Linked DNA regions of Stegostoma tigrinum. The protein of the gene in region 2 interacts with the protein of the main gene of each other region in a pairwise test. Links are inferred from orthologs where the notes say so. Each region holds a gene or a part of one and is shown on either strand. Other genes may lie near its edges.

Region 1 (9,887 bases), on a different chromosome or scaffold from region 2:
CTGTTGTTGTATGAAAGGGTTTGGAATTGCCTCCATCCCATCCTGTGGGCAAATCAGAACAACTGATGTTCCTCTGCATACAACCAAGCCAAGCTGTCGTGTGTCTTCAGTCAATTTGTATTGGTCATCTGGATCTGAAATTAGTAATGTTAAGTTTAAAAAGCTAGACTCCAGTTACATAAAGTGTAAAACTATGTGGAACATGCTAAATGTGATGAGATGTAAACGTGTTTTAATTAGAAATTACATAACACTTCATTTGAAGGACTTTAAAAAGTATTGAATTAAACATTGAATTCAATCATGCTCCAACATGGTATACAGGAAAACCTGACACTAAATCACATAAAGGAAACATGTGGCAGCTGACCAAAGCAGGTTTTAAAATAAAAGAGTAGTGAGGAAAGAGAAACAAGACAAATGTAGATTTAGGGAGTGATTTCTAGACCTGAAGGCTTTGCCCCTGTAGGTATAGCCCCTTAGTGTTGCAACAACAAAAACAAACATAGCTCAAAGAGGCCAGAATTATAATACTGATGAAAGGGTTGTAAGGACCGAGAGATCATCATGATAGGGAGAATAGAGAAATTGAAGTGGCAGCCAAATTTTCAAATAACACCATGCTACTGCCCAGATTGGACTAGGTGTCAGTGACAACAGGCAGTAGAATTTTGGATGGCAAGTTTATGGATGTCATAACATGGAAGGCAGGTGACATGTATGCTGGAATAATCAATTCTGGATTTACACTGAATGGCAAAGCAGAAACTGATGGCCAAGTTCCATGCCCATGAAGGCACCCTCAACTGTGATCTTGGCTTCATGTCACACTACATGCAAACCCATAACTGCTCTGCAACTGTAAAAAAAAATCTTCCTTACTTGCCCTTTTGGACACGATCACCTTTATAACTTCTGAGGATCTCCCTCTACCTTAATTTGTAGAGTTTTGGATTACTTGTTACTTTGGTTAGACCCTTGGTGTGTGACTTTTATACCCATGTTATTCCAGCTGCTTGGTTTGTCTCCAAACAGAATTTTTAAAAAATTCTAATTACACCTCTACCTCAATTAATTGGATTACAGGAGATCCCTTCAATTTTTGACACTTTACTTAATGTCTGACACTTCTGATCACTTACAAAGACTTGGGGACAAGGAGCTGAGAAGCTGTATGAAAGCACCAAGTTTAAGAAAAGCAATACCTGTGGGAGAACTGCGAGTTTATTCATCTAGAATCCTGAAAATGACCTGGAAGAATATATACAAGTACCACTAGTTACAGAAAGCAGACCAACTGCATTGCATCCACGAGGCTGCAAGTTACAGACAGCATGTTCACAGAGCCAGTATAAGTGTAGGTTAGAGGCATGCAGGCAGATCAGGAACATGTGACTATCAGACAGTCCAAGAGAACCAGGAAGACAATGCAGGGGTTTAACTCAAGAATCAGTTTTCATTCTGATAATGGTAAAGGTTTTCAGAGGAGATGCTAAGCCTATGGCAACATGAGTGAGCCAGCTATTTGGGAGGGAAGGAAGGAAAAGGGGGAAAGCAGCAGTTAAAAAGGAACTGATTTGTTAGGAGACTAGAGACATTTCTGCAGTCAAAGATGTGATGCCAGCAATGCATTTTCTTTCACAGGTGTTAGAATCAAGAATGTCACAAAGTAATTACAGGACATTCTTCCCGAGGGATGCGTTCAACTGCAGATCATGGTCTACATTGGTATTTATGTAGAAATGAGTGGTGATGTAGTCCTGTAGTAAGAATTTAGAAAGCTCATTAAAAGATTAGAGTGTAGAACAAATTAATAACTGGATTAAAGGGAGAAATTACAACTGTGCATATGAATGGAAGTAAACAGGATTGACAAGTTACAAGTACAGATCGCCACATTGAGTTATAATACTGTGGCAATAACAGGCTGGGCAAAGGAAAGGCTGAACTAAGTACTAAACATTCCTAGTTACAGGGAGAGGGTAAAGCAAGAAAGCAACGCAGTGGTAATCTTGGTGAAGGACAGCTGCTTGGGAGGAAAAAAAAGGCTTCAAGGACAGAATCAACTTGGCTGGAGCAAAAGGTACAAGGGGAGTCCATTATATTGCTGGGTGTAGTTTACAGGCCACCAGTTAGTAATAGGGATGTAGAGGAACAAATCAGTAAGGAAATTACAGAATAATGCAAGCAAAGAGTATGTGGGAGATTTCAATTACTCCAATTGAAGTTGGAATAGTGGTAGTTAGGAAAAAGAGAAAAGCAAACAAACATACATTCTTGGAATGCATTTAAAAGAATTTCCAACAGCAGTACATCAATGCAACAAGTTAAAAAAGAAAGCACTGCTGGACTTACTTCTTAGGAAGTAGTATCAGTAGGGTAACCTTTAAAAAAAGGTACAGTGATCATTGTATCATGAAATTTGGGAGGACCGTGGCAACAAGAGACAAAGCAAACTAAGGATAATTAGACAGAGCAGACTTTAATGGGGCAAGAACAGACTTGTTCTTGTTAGTCTGGATCAAAAGGGCAGAGTGAAAGATTACATGTGCAATAAGATGCCTTCCAAAAGATAGATTAAAACAAAAAAAAAAGGGTTCTGGCACAATGTATATTTCCTCACAAAAATACAGCAAAAGAAAAATCCAGAGCTCTTTGGATAAAAAAAACAGAAAAAAAAAGTGTTTATGGTAACTAGCAGGTAGAAAATACAGCTGAAAATTAAGCTGCATACAAAAGTGTTTAGAAGGGAAGATGATAAAGAGAAGAGGAGCTATGCAAAAAAAAACTAAAATCAAAAGTCATACAATGTTTTTCAAATCAGAAAAACTGGAAGTCACTTTACAGACAGAGATAGTAGGAACTGCAGATGCTGGGCCCAAAATGTCAGCCTTCCTGCTCCTCGGATCCTGCTGTGTCCATCCAACTCTACACTTTTGTAGTCTAGAATACACTTCACAATTTTTGTTTCATAGATTGTCCATCAAGTTATAAAAACTAGGAACATCTTTGGGGCTTACCTCTCACATACTCTATTGTTCCATCCAATACAAGATTGAGGAGTGGGTCAAATCCTTTCAGAATCCCACTAGCTGTCAAAAAAAAACCAAACACATTTCACCAAATTTCAAGTGAACTACAACATCAGACACTATACAAGAGTCAAAACATACATTACCTCAAAATACACAAGATCTTTTACTGTTTTCCCCTTCAACACCCAAACTTTCCCAAAGCAGACTTCAGTAACAACCAATGAAACTGTTCTGAAACAGTAAAGCTTCAAATTCTCAGTTGAAGTCATTTTACCTTATGAATTTAACAGCAAAGAACTAAAACAATTCTTCAGTAAGTGTAGTATCTACATCATTTCCCAATTCATTGTCTTGAAGGTGAAAGATTATTGTTAGAGATTCTAGTCATTTTGAAGTTGACCTCAGCAGCTTTTTAACCAAATTGAAGAATTTACAGGAGCCTCTGACCAGCTTAAACTAAGTAGTAAAACAATACTTACAGCACTACTCCTAAAGGAATAAGATGTGGTTTATACTGACTTTTTATTGGTTTGATACAATTTGTATCACAGTTCTTTTATCTTTCCCAATCACAGAAAGAGACCATTCGGTCCAGGCAGTCCATGTGGACTACAATTCCAAACTAAAACCAGTCCCACCTACCTGCTCCTAGCCCCTAAGCCTTTCCCAAACTCAACCACGTTTGTCCAAACAGCCTGCCTATTTTGGTTGGGGAAAGACTACAGCTGTTGTAGTCTGGTAAAAGTCAACCTTACGTAACATATATAGACGAAATTTTAAAAAACTGCACCTTCTCGTCCACCTTGAAATTTCACACGGATTGTTTTGTCTATGTACTTGGAGAGGTCGAGAATACTCTCCTTCTTTTTCTTCTCCTTATCCTGAATTCAAAGAAACAAAAACAAAGAAAGTTAGAACCCGATTCTTGCAATCCGAGCTTCTCGTGATCGGTACCCGAGCCTCCGATAGCCCGCAAGGTTTCCGTGACAGCTAAATCGACCTGGTCCCACTCAGAGATTCTGACACGGCCACGAACAAACCGCCAAATTGGGGGGGGGGGGGGGGGGGTTATAACAAAACCGGTGTTCCACTTTCATAGGCCCAAGGAAAGAATTAGATAATAAATGTAACCGGAGGCTCCAGTGGGCCATTAACAGGCCTTCTTTTCCCCAAACACAACCCCCGAGATTTTAAAACTCAGCCACCAGCAAAGACCGCACACACACACTCACCGCCATCATCACGGCCACGACCTCTAACCCCACAACCCCATGACCTTTAACCTCGGCAGCCGACCCGAGTTCCGGCTGTCTCCGCCCCATTGCCCCGCCCCTCACCGTCAGGGGTCCCTCCCCTCGGCACCGGCCGCTTCTGGGTCTCCAGTCAAAACCGAAGTTAATCGGCCGTTCGCCGCCGGCTTTCCTCAAAATAGGCTCCCCCTATTTTTGTGTGTTTGGATTGTTCGGACCCTGAGTGGACGCTACCATTGTGGTCTCTGGAGGGGTCCGAACCTCATCCGAAAGATGGCGCTGGGAGTGAGGCTGCTGCTGTTCGTCCTTCAGCTCAGTCAGGTATCAGCCCGGGGGCCGGGCCGGCACCCCATTCCTTCTCCCCGTCCCCCAAGTCCCAGGACCCGACTAGACACCTGTCACCCTCAGCCCCAGGCCAGCTCTGCATCTCCCTCTTTCCTTTCTACCCAATCTGCTCCCCCCCCACTATTCCCCATACACCTTCCTTCACAATCCTCACCATCCAATCACCCCATCCTGTCCCCCACAACATCACCATACTCCAACCCTGCAGTCTCCCCACTCCCCCACACCCCACCGCAGTCTCCCCATCCTCTCTGCAAAACCCCACACACCCTGCTATTCCCCCATTCTCCTCTGCAATCCCTGCATCCCCCGCTATCCCCCATCCCTTGCCCCTCAATTGTTCTCACTGCTCAATCTCCCCAAATCCCCCGCAATCTCCCCAATCCTCCCACAAACACCCCCACACTTCTCTGCTATTCCCCCATTCCCCTTTAACTATAGACCATCCTCTATTGGCTCCAACTACTATCCGAATTCTCCCTGTCATCCTAATCCTCGCAAACCCTTTCTCTCCCCTCCAACAGTCCCCATGTTTCCCCCCCTTGGGGCACTTTTCTTCATGTCCTAACCCCTTACTCCTCTCCCTGCATCACTGAGTGGGGCAGAGTATGTGTCATTGCAATCACTGGCCTTCAAAAAACAGTCCCTTGAACCGGCTGTTAATTCCAATGCATGGTTCAAATGCGTCATTTGTGGTAGAATATTCTCTTCTCTTGGATCAAGGAAACTTTTATCTCAGTATTGTTGACAGTGAATTAAATCATTAACAATGATCAAAATGGAAATGAAGAGCGTAATTGTGCAGTTAGTCATCTTGCGCAAAATGTAGTGCGTTAATTCAGGAACTGAGTTATTTGTGGGTTTGAGACATACGTGGGCTGGCATTGTTTATACATTCTGGAGTTGCTTTGCTGATGCACTTTACCCTGAAATATGCAGGTGGTGACTGAGTATGGAATGGTCCACGTCCTATCTGATAAGGAACATGGAAATACAAAAGATTACTGCATCCAGTTCAATCCCTACTGGGCCTATTTACCTCATGATCTCAGTAAGGCGGTAAGTGTATATCACAGGACGTTTTGGCAAATCCATTGCGGAATGCTCATTTAGAGAATGAATAGTCATCGTGCATATCTGGAACTCAGCCTGGCTTCTCATTCCAGGAGGGTTCATATGCCTTTGAAATCCTCCCAAGGAGGGACCCTGGACAGGGAATGTAACTTCTCAACCCCCAAAGCTGCAGGTAAAGCCTCTAATTGCACTACTTAATTTCTTGACCTAGAGCAAGTGCAGTTGAAGATAAGTCTGCAACATCAGATTGGGCATAGGTGAATTGTAAGGAACAAAATCATGTTAGTGAAAATTTAAAATATTTCGAGTTCTTTGGTTTTTAAAAAAAATCAAAATTAAATATAAAATGTACGTACATGTTAGTTAACTTGTCGTTCTGTCTTCTCATATTGTAATGTTTCAAATGTACTGGTTGGATCCCACCAGGAAGCAGGCTTGTTCTTTCGGTGTGTCTCCTCTGTCACCTGGCTGGTGACGTATCTAATTTAGCCTGATCTTCCATTTAGCATGTTTCTGTGGGGAAGATAAGCATCCGAGCTACTTGTGCCCAGTAGTTTTCAGTATGAAGCTAGATAGGAGAAGGATTTGTCCTTTTCGTTGCAAAAGTGTTCCATCTGCCAATTTGCATTTTAATCCTCTGCATACAGAAGCCAGCATTCCATTCAACTTTATGATTATGTTCTGTACCTGTTCGTGAAACTTCAATAATTTATGGACCTGAATTTCCCAAAGCTATTTTGATCTGTACTATCTCTAGCTTTTTAGTATTTCAGTAAGTACTGTTCCTTGACCTCTTTTTGTTTTGGCCCATGGTGGATGGTTTCATATTTGCTTGCCAAGTTGAAATGCGTTTGACACAGTTTAACCCATTCACTTCATCTGTTGATTTCTATGTAATATTATGTTATGACACAGAGACACCCAGCCAAATCATCCCTATCCCTGTATCCACAACACAGAAAATTAAAATAGTCACTGAACCTCAGTAGACCCCAATGGTTTCTAACCAGATGTTTTGAATAATCACAACACTGAGACACCATGTTTAAAGCTTAAACAAAACATGCCACAATTTTTAAATAATACAGTAGCTTTATCAGAGCAAATTTAAGCCACAATGTAATCCAATTAATATCTGTGTTTTAAGACTAATTTTCTTTGATTCCAGCCCCTCACTCAAAGATAAAAAGACACAGTTAAGAGATAAATCAAAAAAGAAAAAAAAAAGAGTTGTAACTGGCCAGTTCATTTAAGCAGCCTCCACAATTAGAACATTACGGGCTCATGAGATTGTATCTTGCTTGATTTCTGAAGATGCTGATGTATGCGCATAGCCTTCAGTAAGCTTTGAGGAATATTTATTTTTGTTCTGATAACTGAAACTCTATTGCCTGAACTTTCAGTATGAGACAACATTCAAGCAGCAATCTAATCATCCTGTAGCTGTGGTAGCCAAAATCCTTCCGACTTAAATACAGTTCAAAACCAGTTTGAACTTTGGTTTCTCGTTGTCTGTGAGGCTTCTGTTACTAGGCAAACATGTGGCATTCGTTTGAGCGTAATGCTTCTCTGGAGTGCAAGCATCTGTAGAGCACTTTTTAACAAGAATCAACCTGCAATTAACTTTTAGGCCAGGCCTTGTATACAAGCATCAGTCAATTATTGTTTTGCTTTACAAAGAAGGCTGCTGCTCACAGCCCAAAGCCGACCTTCAGCTCTCACCTCACATTTTCAAAGTATAATATTAAATAGAGGAAGGTCTCAACAATTAACCTTCCATCCACAATGCTGACTATCTTTCATCAGAAAATTCAGCTGCTTGGTTTTCTGACTTGCCACCTCTTAAAACATTTGACAAAAAGCAGATTTGATTTGTTTTGTTTATTATGGTTGACTTATAACTAAAACTCATCCCTTTGAAGACTGTCGTATAAATCTAGAATCTGAATAGCAATTTCTCATTTCTCCACTTTGAACACTGTGTTGAACTCAATCACGTTCTGATTGCCATTAGATAAATGTTTGTATGCTGTTAGATTGTTAACTAAAGTCTGGTTTTATTGAATCTAATATTGCGCAGTGTTTTCTCAAAGATGTATTTCTGTAGATGCAGTTATGAGATTCACTACAATTCTGACATGCTAATCTACTTATTCCAGTCTAGGTGAAAATGAAAGCTACTATGCCTTCACTCTATTTTTATGTCTGAGCCTTTGTACAGCCTACTGTATTGCAGATGCTACCAGAAGGCCAAGACACAACTTATACTTCAGTCATGAACTCTTTTCTATTTGTCAGTCATAAAGTCTCCACTGCTTGCTTATCTCTCATTATATTTTTTTGAGTGTTTGCACTATTTTATATATATTTTATTTTATTTTTTAAGACACTTCTTGTCCTCTAGCATCTTGCCAATCACTTCTGTAGATATTACATGCCCAGGCTATAATTCCTAGCCCAGACTATCTTGCAGCCATGATTCAGTGATGACAACCATGCCATACCACCAGAAGTGACATATACTTACAGTTCATTCACTTTATTCCTTGTAGGGACCAGTAGAGATTACAGGGATAGGTAGAGGCATGAGGATAGAGGGATTTGAAAATAAGGACAGGAATTTTTCCTACTGTTGACACACAGGGAAACAAGCAGCATGGCAGTAGGTGAATGGAACTTGGTGTAAGTTTAGATACAGTGACAGAGTTCTGGATGAGCATAAATTTATGACCAGTGGCAGATGGGAGGTCAGGTGTGAAGTCTAGCAGTAACAAAGACATAGTTGAGAACTCCAGCAGGAGATGACTAAATCTGCATTAAATTCAGGTGAAGTAGCTGAGGTAGCAATAGATAGTCTTGGCGATAGAGTGAATATGTGGTTGGAAGTTCATTCTGGAGCCTAATACAATACCCAAACCTGGCTTGACTTTGGCGGAACAAGGAAAAGGGAATGAAATAATGATTTAGCATGGTGTTTGTAGTGGGGATCAAAGACTGTGGCTTCAGTGTTCCTGACGTTTAGTGACATTTAGTTTCATTGCAATAAGAGATCGCAGACACAAAGTCTGATAAATCAGACAGAAAAGTATCAGATTTCAAATTGTGGAATCACCTGATCACCGTGGGAGCAGCAGTTGAGGTGTTAAATTCACCATAGCATTTGGTGAAGATGAGCCATTGTTATCCTCTATTGTTATTAAGTGAACCTCTGAGCAGAAGTGCAGTAGGCCGGATCTTGTGTAGAGTCAGGATCAAACTTGGTGGCAGTGATATCCAAAATTAAGTTGTTCGTGGAAACTTATTACTTTCTTATACACTCTCAACCGTGTGGCTAAATTCCACTTCAACTCCATTTAAAAGTTTGATGACGACATGACCATCATATATATACCGATCTCAAATAACGAGACAGAATGCAGGAAAGAGATTGATTGCTTAGTGGCATTGGTGTAAAGACAACAATCTTGCCATCACTGTCAGCAAAATGAAGGAACATAGACCATAGAACATGACAGCGCAGAATAGGCCCTTTGGCCAGCGATGTTGCGCCGACCTGTGAACTAATCTAAGCCCATCCCCCTGCACTATCCCATCATTATCCGTATGCTTATCCACGGACTGTTTAAATGCCCCTAATGTGGCTGAGTTAACTACATTGGCTGGCAGGGCATTCCACGCCCTTACCGCTCTCTGAGTAAAGAACCTGCCTCTGACATCTGTCTTAAATCTATCACCCCTCAATTTGTAGCTATGCCCCCTCGTACAAGCTGACGTCGTCATCATTGGAAAAAGACTCTCACTGTCCACCCTATCTAATCCTCTGATCATCTTGTATGTCTCTATTAAATCCCCTCTTAGCCTTCTTCTCTCCAATGAGAAAAGTCCCAAGTCCCTCACACTTTCTTCATAGATCCTGCGCTCCAGACCAGGCAACATCCTGGTAAATCTCCTCTGCACCTTTTCCAATGCTTCCACATCCTTCCTGTAATGGGACAACCAGAACCGCATGCAATATTCCGAGTGAGGCCGCACTAGCATTTTGTACAGTTGCAGCATGTCATCACGGCTCCGGAACTTAATCCCTCTACCAATAAAACCTAACACACCATAAGCCTTCTTAACAGCACTATCAACCTGGGTGGCAACTTTCAGGGACCTATGTACATGGACACCAAGATCCCTC
Region 2 (10,293 bases):
CCCTGCCCCATTCTGTCGGTCACTGTGTCCCTGCCCCGGGCTGTCGGTCACTGTGTCCCTGCCCCGGGCTGTCGGTCAGTGTGTCCCTGCCCCAGGCTGTCCGTCACTGTGTCCCTGCCCCATTCTGTCGGTCACTGTGTCCCTGCCCCGGGCTGTCGGTCACTGTGTCCCTGCCCCGGGCTGTCGGTCAGTGTGTCCCTGCCCCGGGCTGTCGGTCAGTGTGTCCCTGCTCCAGGCTGTTGGTCAGTGTGTCCCTGCCCCAGGCTGTCGGTCACTGTGTCCCTGCCCCATTCTGTCGGTCAGTGTGTCCCTGCCCCGGGCTGTCGGTCACTGTGTCCCTGCCCCGGGCTGTCGGTCAGTGTGTCCCTGCTCCAGGCTGTCGGTCAGTGTGTCCCTGCCCCATTCTGTCGGTCAGTGTGTCCCTGCCCCGGGCTGTCGGTCAGTGTGTCCCTGCCCCATTCTGTCGGTCACTGTGTCCCTGCCCCGGGCTGTCGGTCAGTGTGTCCCTGCCCCATTCTGTCGGTCACTGTGTCCCTGCCTCATTCTGTCGGTCACTGTGTCCCTGCCCCATTCTGTCGGTCAGTGTGTCCCTGCCCCGGGCTGTCGGTCAGTGTGTCCCTGCCCCGGGCTGTCGGTCACTGTGTCCCTGCCCCATTCTGTCGGTCAGTGTGTCCCTGCCCCAGGCTGTTGGTCAGTGTGTCCCTGCCCCGGGCTGTTGGTCAGTGTGTCCCTGCCCCATTCTGTCGGTCACTGTGTCCCTGCCCCATTCTGTCGGTCACTGTGTCCCTGCCCCAGGCTGTTGGTCAGTGTGTCCCTGCCCCGGGCTGTCGGTCAGTGTGTCCCTGCTTTGAGGCGCTGACCTTCAATCTTACATTGGAGACTGGGAGACAGAGGCCGGGCCTGTAAGTCTGAGGCTGAGCATGGGGAGAGAAACGAGGAAGAGATAAAGACATGCAAAGCGTCCTCCCATCCCACCATCTTATCAGAAGTTCCTTTGTGAAATCAAGCCATGTTGTTGTCACATGATTATCACCTTGTCAAATATTTCCTGGAAATTAGTCAGGAATGATCTGAATGTCATGTTCAAATCCTGACTCTGCTTGTTACCTGTTTCTAAGTGCTGCTCTGTTTTTTCTGTTATGTTAATCTAACATTTCCCCAGTGATAGATATTGAGCTAACAGGTCTATAGTTAACTTTTCTTTTTGTCTTCCTCCATGTTTTGAACAAGTGTATTATGTTGGCAATCTTCCAACCTCTGGAACTTTACCAGAACATGAGGATTCTTGGAAGATTACTAAAACTGAATCCATTATCTCTGTTGCTATTTTGTTTCAGTTCATAGGATGCAAACCATCATTTCGAGATGATGTATTGATCTTCAGACCCTTTTATTTTCCAAGTACCTTTTCTCTGATAAGCTGTTGCTTTTATTCGCTCCCCCACTTCTCCCTCTCAGTTTTTCCCTATTTTAGGAATGCTGTCATGCTGTTGATGGAGCCGTGTTGAATTTCTGCAGTGCATCTGTGGTGACAGGACTGAATGTTGAAAATGGTGGTTTAAAGCTAACAAAAGCTCAATATAAATGCAAATCCCTCCTTTAGTTCTCATGACACTTCATACAACAATTAGCATAGCATATAACAAGGCTGTTTGAAAGGAAGGACTGGTAACAGTGCCAAAGTCAGCACTTGTCACAAAACAGTGAACCCCCCTCTGCCTTTATGGTACAAAGACTTCCTCTTCCTGCTCTCTGATCACCTGAACTCATTCTCGTAAGTGTGTCTTGTTTCACTTCCTTCCTCTTTCCATTATTTTGAACAATTGTTAACGCTGAAGTAAATAATGAAAAGGGAATGTTTATCTTTCATGGATTATCAGTACATCTTGTTCTGTCAGCCAGTCATAAGAATGGACAGTCTTGGTGCAGAGTTGAGTGATGACGACATTTCCCACTGTCAATGCTGGACTTGCAACAACAGCGACAGATCCACTTATATGTTTGGGCTTCCCTCAGGGAGTGAAACCCTGTTACCATTTTAGGACTGAGACACGGGGCGGCACGGTGGCTCAGTGGTTAGCATTGCAGCCTCACAGCGCCAGGGACCCAGGTTCGATTCCAGCCTCGGGCGACTGTCTGTGTGGAGTTTGCACATTCTCCCTGTGTCTGCGTGGGTTTCCTCTGGATGCTCCGGTTTTCTCCCACAGTCCAAAAGATGTGCAGGCTAGGTAGATCGACTATGATAAATTGCCCATAGTGTTCAGGGGTGTGTGGGTTATAGGAGGATGAGTCTGAGTGGGATGCTTCAAGGGGCAGTGTGGACTTGTGGGGCAGAAGGGCCTGTTTCCACACTGTAGGGAATCTAGTCTAGAAAGTTTCAATGCCTACAATAATGCAATAAGCTTAACGATCAAGTATCCTCGGAGCACCGGCAACAAAGAAAAATATTTTGTGCTTTCATCCTGGGTTTTCACATCCCTCCATCTCTCTGGATCGCTTTAACCTCCACCAACCCACAGCTCCTCAAGATATCTGCTGGCTTCTAACTCTGGCCTCTTAAGTATTGCAAGATTCAATGACACACGCAATGGTGAGCATTCCTTCAGCTCCTGCTTGTAAAATGTTGAAACTTGTACCCTCATTTCTCTCTCCACCTGCCTCTCATCTTTTAATACCTTCCTTAAAACCGACGTCTTCCATCTGAATCATTTTGTGACTGGTGTCAAATTTCGTTTGCTGATGCAGCTGTGAAACAATTTGGGACACCTTACTGTTTTAAAGGCATGACATATATGCAAGATGATGTTGTTGTTATAAGCCTTTTTAAGTTATATTCATGAGTCAACCATCTGAATTTTGTTTTAGAAAGAGTTGACCTTTGCTGAAAATAGAGGGATGTTGTTTAAGTTTCTCTTGTTTGGCACTCATCTGGACAGAATTGCAAGAATTTCAAATTTGAAAGGGAACAACAATTTGTACTATGTGTGAAAAAGGTTTTGATTAGTTGTCAGTTCACTTCTGATTGATCTGGGCACTGCCATGGAAGAATGTTTTTATACACACATAACCTGTGTGTGTTGTACGGATGTGTATATATAATTGGTGAATCCAATTCTAAGTGCAACATATTGCCCATCATCTGAGAGACAGGAGAAAAACAGTGGCAGAGACTGATAGTGAATACACAAGCACACATTGGGTGTGATGGTACAGTAACACATGAATCAATTGGCCTTTTGTGTGCACGAAACAGGATCAGTCTGCCTGATGTAGGAATGTCACAAGCAGGTTCTGGGAGATATGCATGGCTGGGCTGGTCTCCAAGCTTGTCCAAATTAAACAAGTGTTAAATATTGTCCACACAGACAGAAGCACGGTAGAGCTGAACTGAACTGCAATCTTCTCCTTGCCAGGTACCAGGGGCCCATGAGATCTGATGACGCAGTTACCAGGTGGCTGTTAACCTCATATGCTGCACCTGAAGTTACCGTGGGTTGGTTTTTGGCTTTTTCATTCTGAACAGATGGCATCACATCTGTCACCTTTTCCTGGATGCTCACACACTGAAAACACAGACTTTCTGCTGATTATTGATTTAATCCTCCCAACCTGCATGTATGACGTGCAAAGCAACTGTCCTTTAGCACACAGTTCCCAGTGCCAGCCATGTGAAGGTGCCAGCTAATGGGTGGCAGCTCGGAAGTAAAGTGTCTGCCAAAAAAAAGTACCTGAACAACTTGTCATATGACTGAGCTGAGTCTGCAGACCGAGCTTTCCTGTTATGGACCACACCAAAACCCCTCAGAAGATGGACTAGACCCAAACCTTTTCTGATTTTGAAGCTAAATGTAAGGTGTTGTGTTCGAGATGCAATTTGTTTGTTCAGACTACTTCTGATTTATCTTCTCATTTAAAGCAAAATACACTTTATTCATCTCCTATCATTAAAACACAACAAAAGAATAAAGGAATTGGAATAACTTACAAAATAAAAACTGAAAGAACTACAGAAGTTAAAAGTCAGAGACAAACATAGAAATTGCTGTAAAAGCTCAGCAGGTCTGACAGCATCTATTAAGAGAAAACACAGTTCACGTTTCGGGTTGAGTGAGCCTTCCCTTCAGTTCTGAGGCAGGATCACTCGACCCAAAATGTTAACTCTGAAATCTCTCCACAAATGTTGCCAGACTGGCTGAGCTTTTCCAGCAATTTCTATTTTTGTCATTGGAATAACTTAACTCTATTGGAAAACTTAACACAATAATAGATACAGTAACAATTACCTTGTCCAATATTGCAACATCCCACAAACACACCCTTGGCAAAATCCAAATTCAGAACGTAGATTGTCTCATACACAACTCTATTAACAGACAGAGAACCTCTAGAATTTGGCTGTAACCGAGAGAAGGTAAAAATGCCTTTAATTTCTTCCAGATTCCAACAACAACTGCTGAAAGCTAAAACTAAAATCCCTGGTTCTGTGGATGGGAACCTGACCCCACCCTTTCAGGCCACTTCTATTGTTCCAACTGATTAAAAAAAATCCATGGCTTCACAAGTTTATCTTCTCATAGACTACCTGGTGCCTGCCGCCCAATCTCAGTCTAAAAGGAATCAAGACAAAACACACCTCTTCAAGCCACAACATTGCCAAACTGCCACAATCCAAGGAAGCATTCTCATGTGGAGGTGCTGGTTTCTGGTGACCAGGTTAATGACTTAATGCGACTGCTTGAATGCAAATACCAGACCATCTCTGAGCCAAAATGTTTCCCTTGCACTTTGTTGTCAGGGGAATAAACTTCCAACCTCAACTCAAATGGAGGAAAGTGCTCTCAACTCTACAAAGCATTTAGCCAATTTCTACCCACTTATGGGTGCTCATCCGCTTCTGACAATGGAGACTTACAACAGAGATAATGGGAACTGCAGATGCTGGAGAATCCAAGATAACAAAGTGTGAAGCTGGATGAACACAGCAGGCCAAGCAGCATCTCAGGAGCACAAAAGCTTACGTTTCGGGCCTAGACCCTTCATCAGAGAGGGGGATGGGGAGAAGGAACTGGAATAAATAAAGAGGGGGAGGCGGACTGAAGATGGAGAGAAAAGAAGATAGGTGGAGAGGAGAGTATAGGTGGGGAGGTAGGGAGGGGATAGGTCAGTCCAGGGAAGACGGACAGGTCAAGGAGGTGGGATGAGGTTAGTAGGTAGGAGATGGAGGCGCGGCTTGAGGTGGGACAAAGGGATGGGTGAGAGGAAGAACAGGTTAGGGAGGCAGAGACAGGCTGGACTGGTTTTGGGATGCAGTAGGGGGAGGGGAAGAGCTGGGCTGGTTGTGTGATGCAGTGGGGGGAGGGGACGAACTGGGCTGGTTTTGGAGATAATGGGAACTGCAGATGCTGGAGATTCCGAGATAATAAAATGTGAGGCTGGATGAACACAGCAGGCCAAGCAGGACTGACCTATCCCCTCCCTACCTCCCCACCTACACCCTCTCCACCTATCTTCTTTACTCTCCATCTTCGGTCCGCCTCCCCCTCTCTCCCTATTTATTCCAGTTCCCTCCCCCCATCCCCCTCTCTGATGAAGGGTCTAGGCCCGAAACGTCAGCTTTTGTGCTCCTGAGATGCTGCTTGGCCTGCTGTGTTCATCCAGCCTCACATTTTATTATCTGGGCTGGTTTTGGGATGCGGTAGACTTACAACAGGTTGTTTCATTCATCCAGCAGAAAGATGTCAGTGTTTAATCCTAAATTAGATGTCCAGCAAGCCCTTTTCAGACTGGACGCAGATAAATCTGTCAGCAGATAATCGCTTTAGTACCAGCAAAATGGACATTGCAACGCTTAGGCCAATACCTATCTCGTAATACAACTCACTCTTTGCCTTAGCAAAAAATGCTAACATCATTTGTTTTTAACCTGCTGTTCTGCAGCATGAGAGTAGCCAGGGTTGGGCTGGAAATCTGCAAAGAATGTGTAACTTCCTTCCTTGAACAGAAAGCAGCAGCTCGAACTCAGTGACGGAATTGCACGGGGGCATTTGGTGAATCTATATACTAATTCTGCCCTTGCTCACTGAGCTTGCTGCACACGCACTCGTCCTGCAGGGCAAAGTGCTGTCTGTTTGCGGGCTTGGAATGTGCTGGCTGGGACAGCCCATTTTGTTCCTGAGGTAGAGAAACATCAACGCGAGAGAGATAAAGAAACGCACCCTTGTGGTCAGGCATTCTTTGGGAGAAGCCTCGTGTGCCCCGGAATGTAATCACGGAGAGAAAGCCTTTACTACTTTCAGACAGCAACTTCGAACACACATCCCGCTGTAATCTGGATGAGTTTTTACCCCGCAGCCAAGTCCCAGGGACTCTCGAATTCCTCTCCAGTGACTTTATTTGAGTCTATTGTGTTTTTTTGCACTGTCCAGTTATGTGCAGCCTTGGCTCAAGGCGACGTTGCTGGCATGCGATTGGTTCAGGATCTGGCAAGAGTTCAGCAGCCCGAAGAACTCAAGCCGTCAATGCAGGAGCTGCAGTCCCACTGCAGCATTGAAGGCTCTCTGTGTCTGTGTGTGTGTGACTCTGTGAGAGCCTCTTTCAGCATCACGGGCATCTCTGCGACCACTGACAAAAAATTCAGAATGGGAGGGTCTCAGTCCCAGCACCAGCTCAAGGGAGGGGTGAGACCTTTAAAAGAGAAGGCCAGCATGTAAGTCACCCATCATCTAACCATCTTTCAGTTTCAATGCGGGAGTAACTAGTTACCAATTCGATTTTAGTCTATCTCTTTCTTTTTAAGTGTCATTTGCTCAGCCACTGCATACAGGCTTGAGTGGCTAATTCCGTTTTAAATGCAAGTGTATCATATGTGGTGTTCATCTAATGTATGTTCTGGTCAATGTGTTTTTTTCTTGTACCATCCCTTATTTTGAGAATTTATCCATGTTGCAAAGATCTGAGAACAGGGTGAGCTGTGAGTGGTATCAGTGGGAACCAGCAAATCAAGGTCAGCTTGTCTGTTCAAAAAGATTCTATCATTGTCTCGCTTCTGTTTTCATTTCTTTTCTAAAAATTATTCATGAGCCACTAGGCCTAGTCTGTTTGACATTCATTTCATTACAGGGAGGAAGTGCCCCAGTTTCCCCATCCATTCACTGAAGGAATTCTATTTTGGAAAGATGAGAATTCTGATCCAGACCCATGTTGGCTGGTCTTGATTGACTGATCCAGCTTGTGGTGCACTGCAATGTCATGAGTTTCAGTCACACTCTTGTTTACAAGAAGAAACTGCTCATGTGCCTTTACAGACACCTCTTCCAAGTTCAACTGCACCCAGCTGGGTTATATCAGTGTTCATAATTGATAATAAACTTCAAGCACTAGCATAGAAAATGTAAATCCACAACAGACTTGCTGCAGTGTTACTGCTGTTCCTTTAACCCTTTTATCTCCTCTTGTTAACTCTTGCTTTGAGAAGTACATTTTGACTGAGCTTTTACCCTGCGGAGTGGAGAATATTGAGGGATCTTTGTGGTCATGTGGCCTGCCAGGGATATTAACCTCAGGGGGAAAGAACCGGGTGACCAGATCCAATCAACAGCCGGAGCTTTTCACAAGGCCTCAAAATCACCTGACCCAGTCTGCTCCCAAGTCCATGGCAATCCCACAGTTTTGATGGAAAATGAACACTCTGGATGGAGGTAAACCTATCCCAGCATCCATAACAAGAGTGGCAGCTCTCTATTAATGTTATGCACCTCCTCTCTCAGCGTTCTTATTTGCTTTGTCAGTTTCCAAGTGAAGTGCCTGCTATTCGACAAAGGGAGTGAATTTGCAAAGAGATGTATGTCATGACTGTCGTAGATGCTCTGTTCATAAAATTACTTTGAAAATGGTCGGTTGAACAGTCAGTGTGCACTTTGCCCTTTGTCAGGCATGGTGGCTGTGTGGGGAACTGAAGAACAAGGTAATATCTCAGGGGAAAATGAATCCAACTGTTTGCTTTCAGGACAATGTGCAAGATGCAATCCAAACATGTTTTCACCTGCACCGCAACTTGTGCAACAGCAGCTCTGCTCATTGTACAGTTCCAGGCTCCATCAAGTGAGCTTAGCCCTAAAACGAGCAAGTGTTGATCTATCTTGTCTGTATTGATGGGCTGGATGACTCATTGATTATTTACATAGTGGGAAAGGGACGGGATGAAGGTGTTTCAATCAGGGAGGATGGAGACTGTTGTGTATGTCTCTTGGTCAGTATTTTGATCAGAGACAAGCTCAGGATATCATGACTATGTCACAGCATGTGGCCTGAGGGTATAAAGGTCTTGACTCCGTTTTAACTTGGGCCACTTGAAGCTTGACACGCTGATTAACTCTTTGTAACTGAATGGCTGAAGGTTAGCCCAGACATGGAAGTCACCTGTTAATGTAATATTTGTTTCGTTTTGTGAGTTGGATTAATATATGTTGGAGTTTTCATATTATGTTCCTGCATCTCAATTTTAATGTAATGAGAAGTGATGCTATCTAACATTGCTGCATCGAGATACCCTGGAAAACATGAGTCAGCAAAAAACTTGGCAGGTGGAATACAATGCGGGAAAATGTGAGGATACGTCCCTTGGTAGGAAGAACAGAAGAGCTGAATGTTATTTAAATGGATAAAGACTGCAGAAGGATTTTGGATTCCTTATGGATACAACTTCAGCAGGTAACAGTGAAGGACAATATTCGTTGTCATTTCAAAGGGAATGATGTATAAATATGGGGAAGTCTTTGCTAAAACTAGACAAGGGTCTCAGGACACCACATTTCAGAATACTGTGAACAGCTTTGATCCCTTTATTTAAGAAAAAATATACTGGCATTCAGGTAGTCCAGAGAAGGTTCACCAGGCTGATCCCAGGTATGGACGGACTGATGTATGAGGCCAGGTTGAATAGGTTGGGCTTGTACTCATTGGAGTTTAGAAGAATGAGAGACAGCTAATGAAACCTTCAAAAAGATTCTTGGGGGCTTGACAGAATTGATGTGTAACAGTTGTTTCTCTGCACGGGGAAGTGGAGGACCAGAGGACACCATCTCGGATTAAGGGGGTCATCTATTTTAGAGAATGAGGAGGAATTTTTTTCTCTCGGAGGCTAGTGAATCTGTGGAATTTGGTACCGCAGAGGTCTTGTTGAGGCTGGGTCATTAAGTCTATTCAAGGCTGAGATAGGTTTTTAATCAGTAAGGGAATCGAGAGTTTTGGGGAAATGGTAAGAAAGTGGATTTGAAATTTGTTATAACAAGGTGTAGAGCTGGATGAACACAGCAGGCCAAGCAGCATCAGAGGAGCAGGAAGGCTGACGTTTCGGGTCGAGACCCTTCTTCAGTGTATTGGCAGACAAGGGGGTGAGACACAAGCAGTCATTTGGAACTCAATCCACCGTTCCTCAGCTGTGCTGTTTGGGACCCCCAAGACTCTGGTCTATGTCACAAAGCAAATACAACATCGACCCTTCCTACAGTTGGATCTTGTCATCCAGCCGCTCTACATTTGGGCATGTTGTTTCTCAGCTTCCCAAACTGTGCTGAAACACAATGTACTCACAAAGGCATTCCAATGTCTTCATGGTCTGTTGCATGTGACCTCAGTTGTATTCTGCGCTGGGTGTGATGTTTTTGCTGTGGAAGAGATGCCAGGAAATCATTGAGGCACAAAAGGGTATGGGAGGGAGGAAAGGAAGGGCTGTAGGTGGGGGAAAGGCACAAACAGGGGTGGGGCTATCAAATGTTAGACGGTGGTGCACATAGAGAAGTTTGCAATGTGGGGGAGTGTAGTGAAAGGCTACTAGAGGGTAGGTAAGGGAGCTAAAATAACTCCACAGAGGCTGGTGTCCTGTCACCAAACATCCCTTTATTTACGTGCGCATCGTACATGGACTCTGACCAGCCTGCCCAGAGCCAGTCCCTAGAGTGAGGAGAATCCCTGACACTCTTGTTTATATCTATTAGCCAGGGGTCCCTGATTAGCCCAGGTTAGCAATCCCAATCAGGGAACTCACAGTCAGTGAGATCCACGTACAGGAGCAGAGTGGCGTTTACTACAGGGAGCGGCTACCTGAGTAATTAGTTTATCTGCTTGGCTGAATGAAGTAGTTCTACTTGAATATGTGATGATGTGATCAACCCTAGGAAGGACAGGTGGGACTGAGGAGGATTTACAGTGTCAGAGGCCAGCACTTTCAGCTGGTCCACTGAGCAATATTGTTGGAGTTTCTCTCATCTTGAATATCCAAAGTTTTTGGGCAGA

The links.
Region 1: the proteins of tacc1 (region 2) and lsm7 interact in binary tests that used the Homo sapiens proteins (3 or more experiments, as listed by UniProt). The link is inferred for Stegostoma tigrinum from reciprocal best matches to the Homo sapiens genes TACC1 and LSM7.

The regions. Positions count from the first base shown.
Region 1 is NC_081383.1:26,724,616-26,734,502, reverse strand, and holds the start of lsm7 (U6 snRNA-associated Sm-like protein LSm7), read right to left. Parts: upstream 4,344-9,887; 5' UTR 4,277-4,343; coding exon 4,268-4,276; intron 3,917-4,267; coding exon 3,826-3,916; intron 3,093-3,825; coding exon 3,021-3,092; intron 135-3,020; coding exon 1-134. Other genes in the region: sppl2 (signal peptide peptidase-like 2), read left to right, coding at 4,559-4,606, 5,570-5,689. UniProt on the Homo sapiens protein: Plays a role in pre-mRNA splicing as component of the U4/U6-U5 tri-snRNP complex that is involved in spliceosome assembly, and as component of the precatalytic spliceosome (spliceosome B complex).
Region 2 is NC_081393.1:12,116,312-12,126,604, forward strand, and holds the start of tacc1 (transforming acidic coiled-coil-containing protein 1), read left to right. Parts: upstream 1-6,102; 5' UTR 6,103-6,332; coding exon 6,333-6,706; intron 6,707-10,293. UniProt on the Homo sapiens protein: Involved in transcription regulation induced by nuclear receptors, including in T3 thyroid hormone and all-trans retinoic acid pathways. Might promote the nuclear localization of the receptors.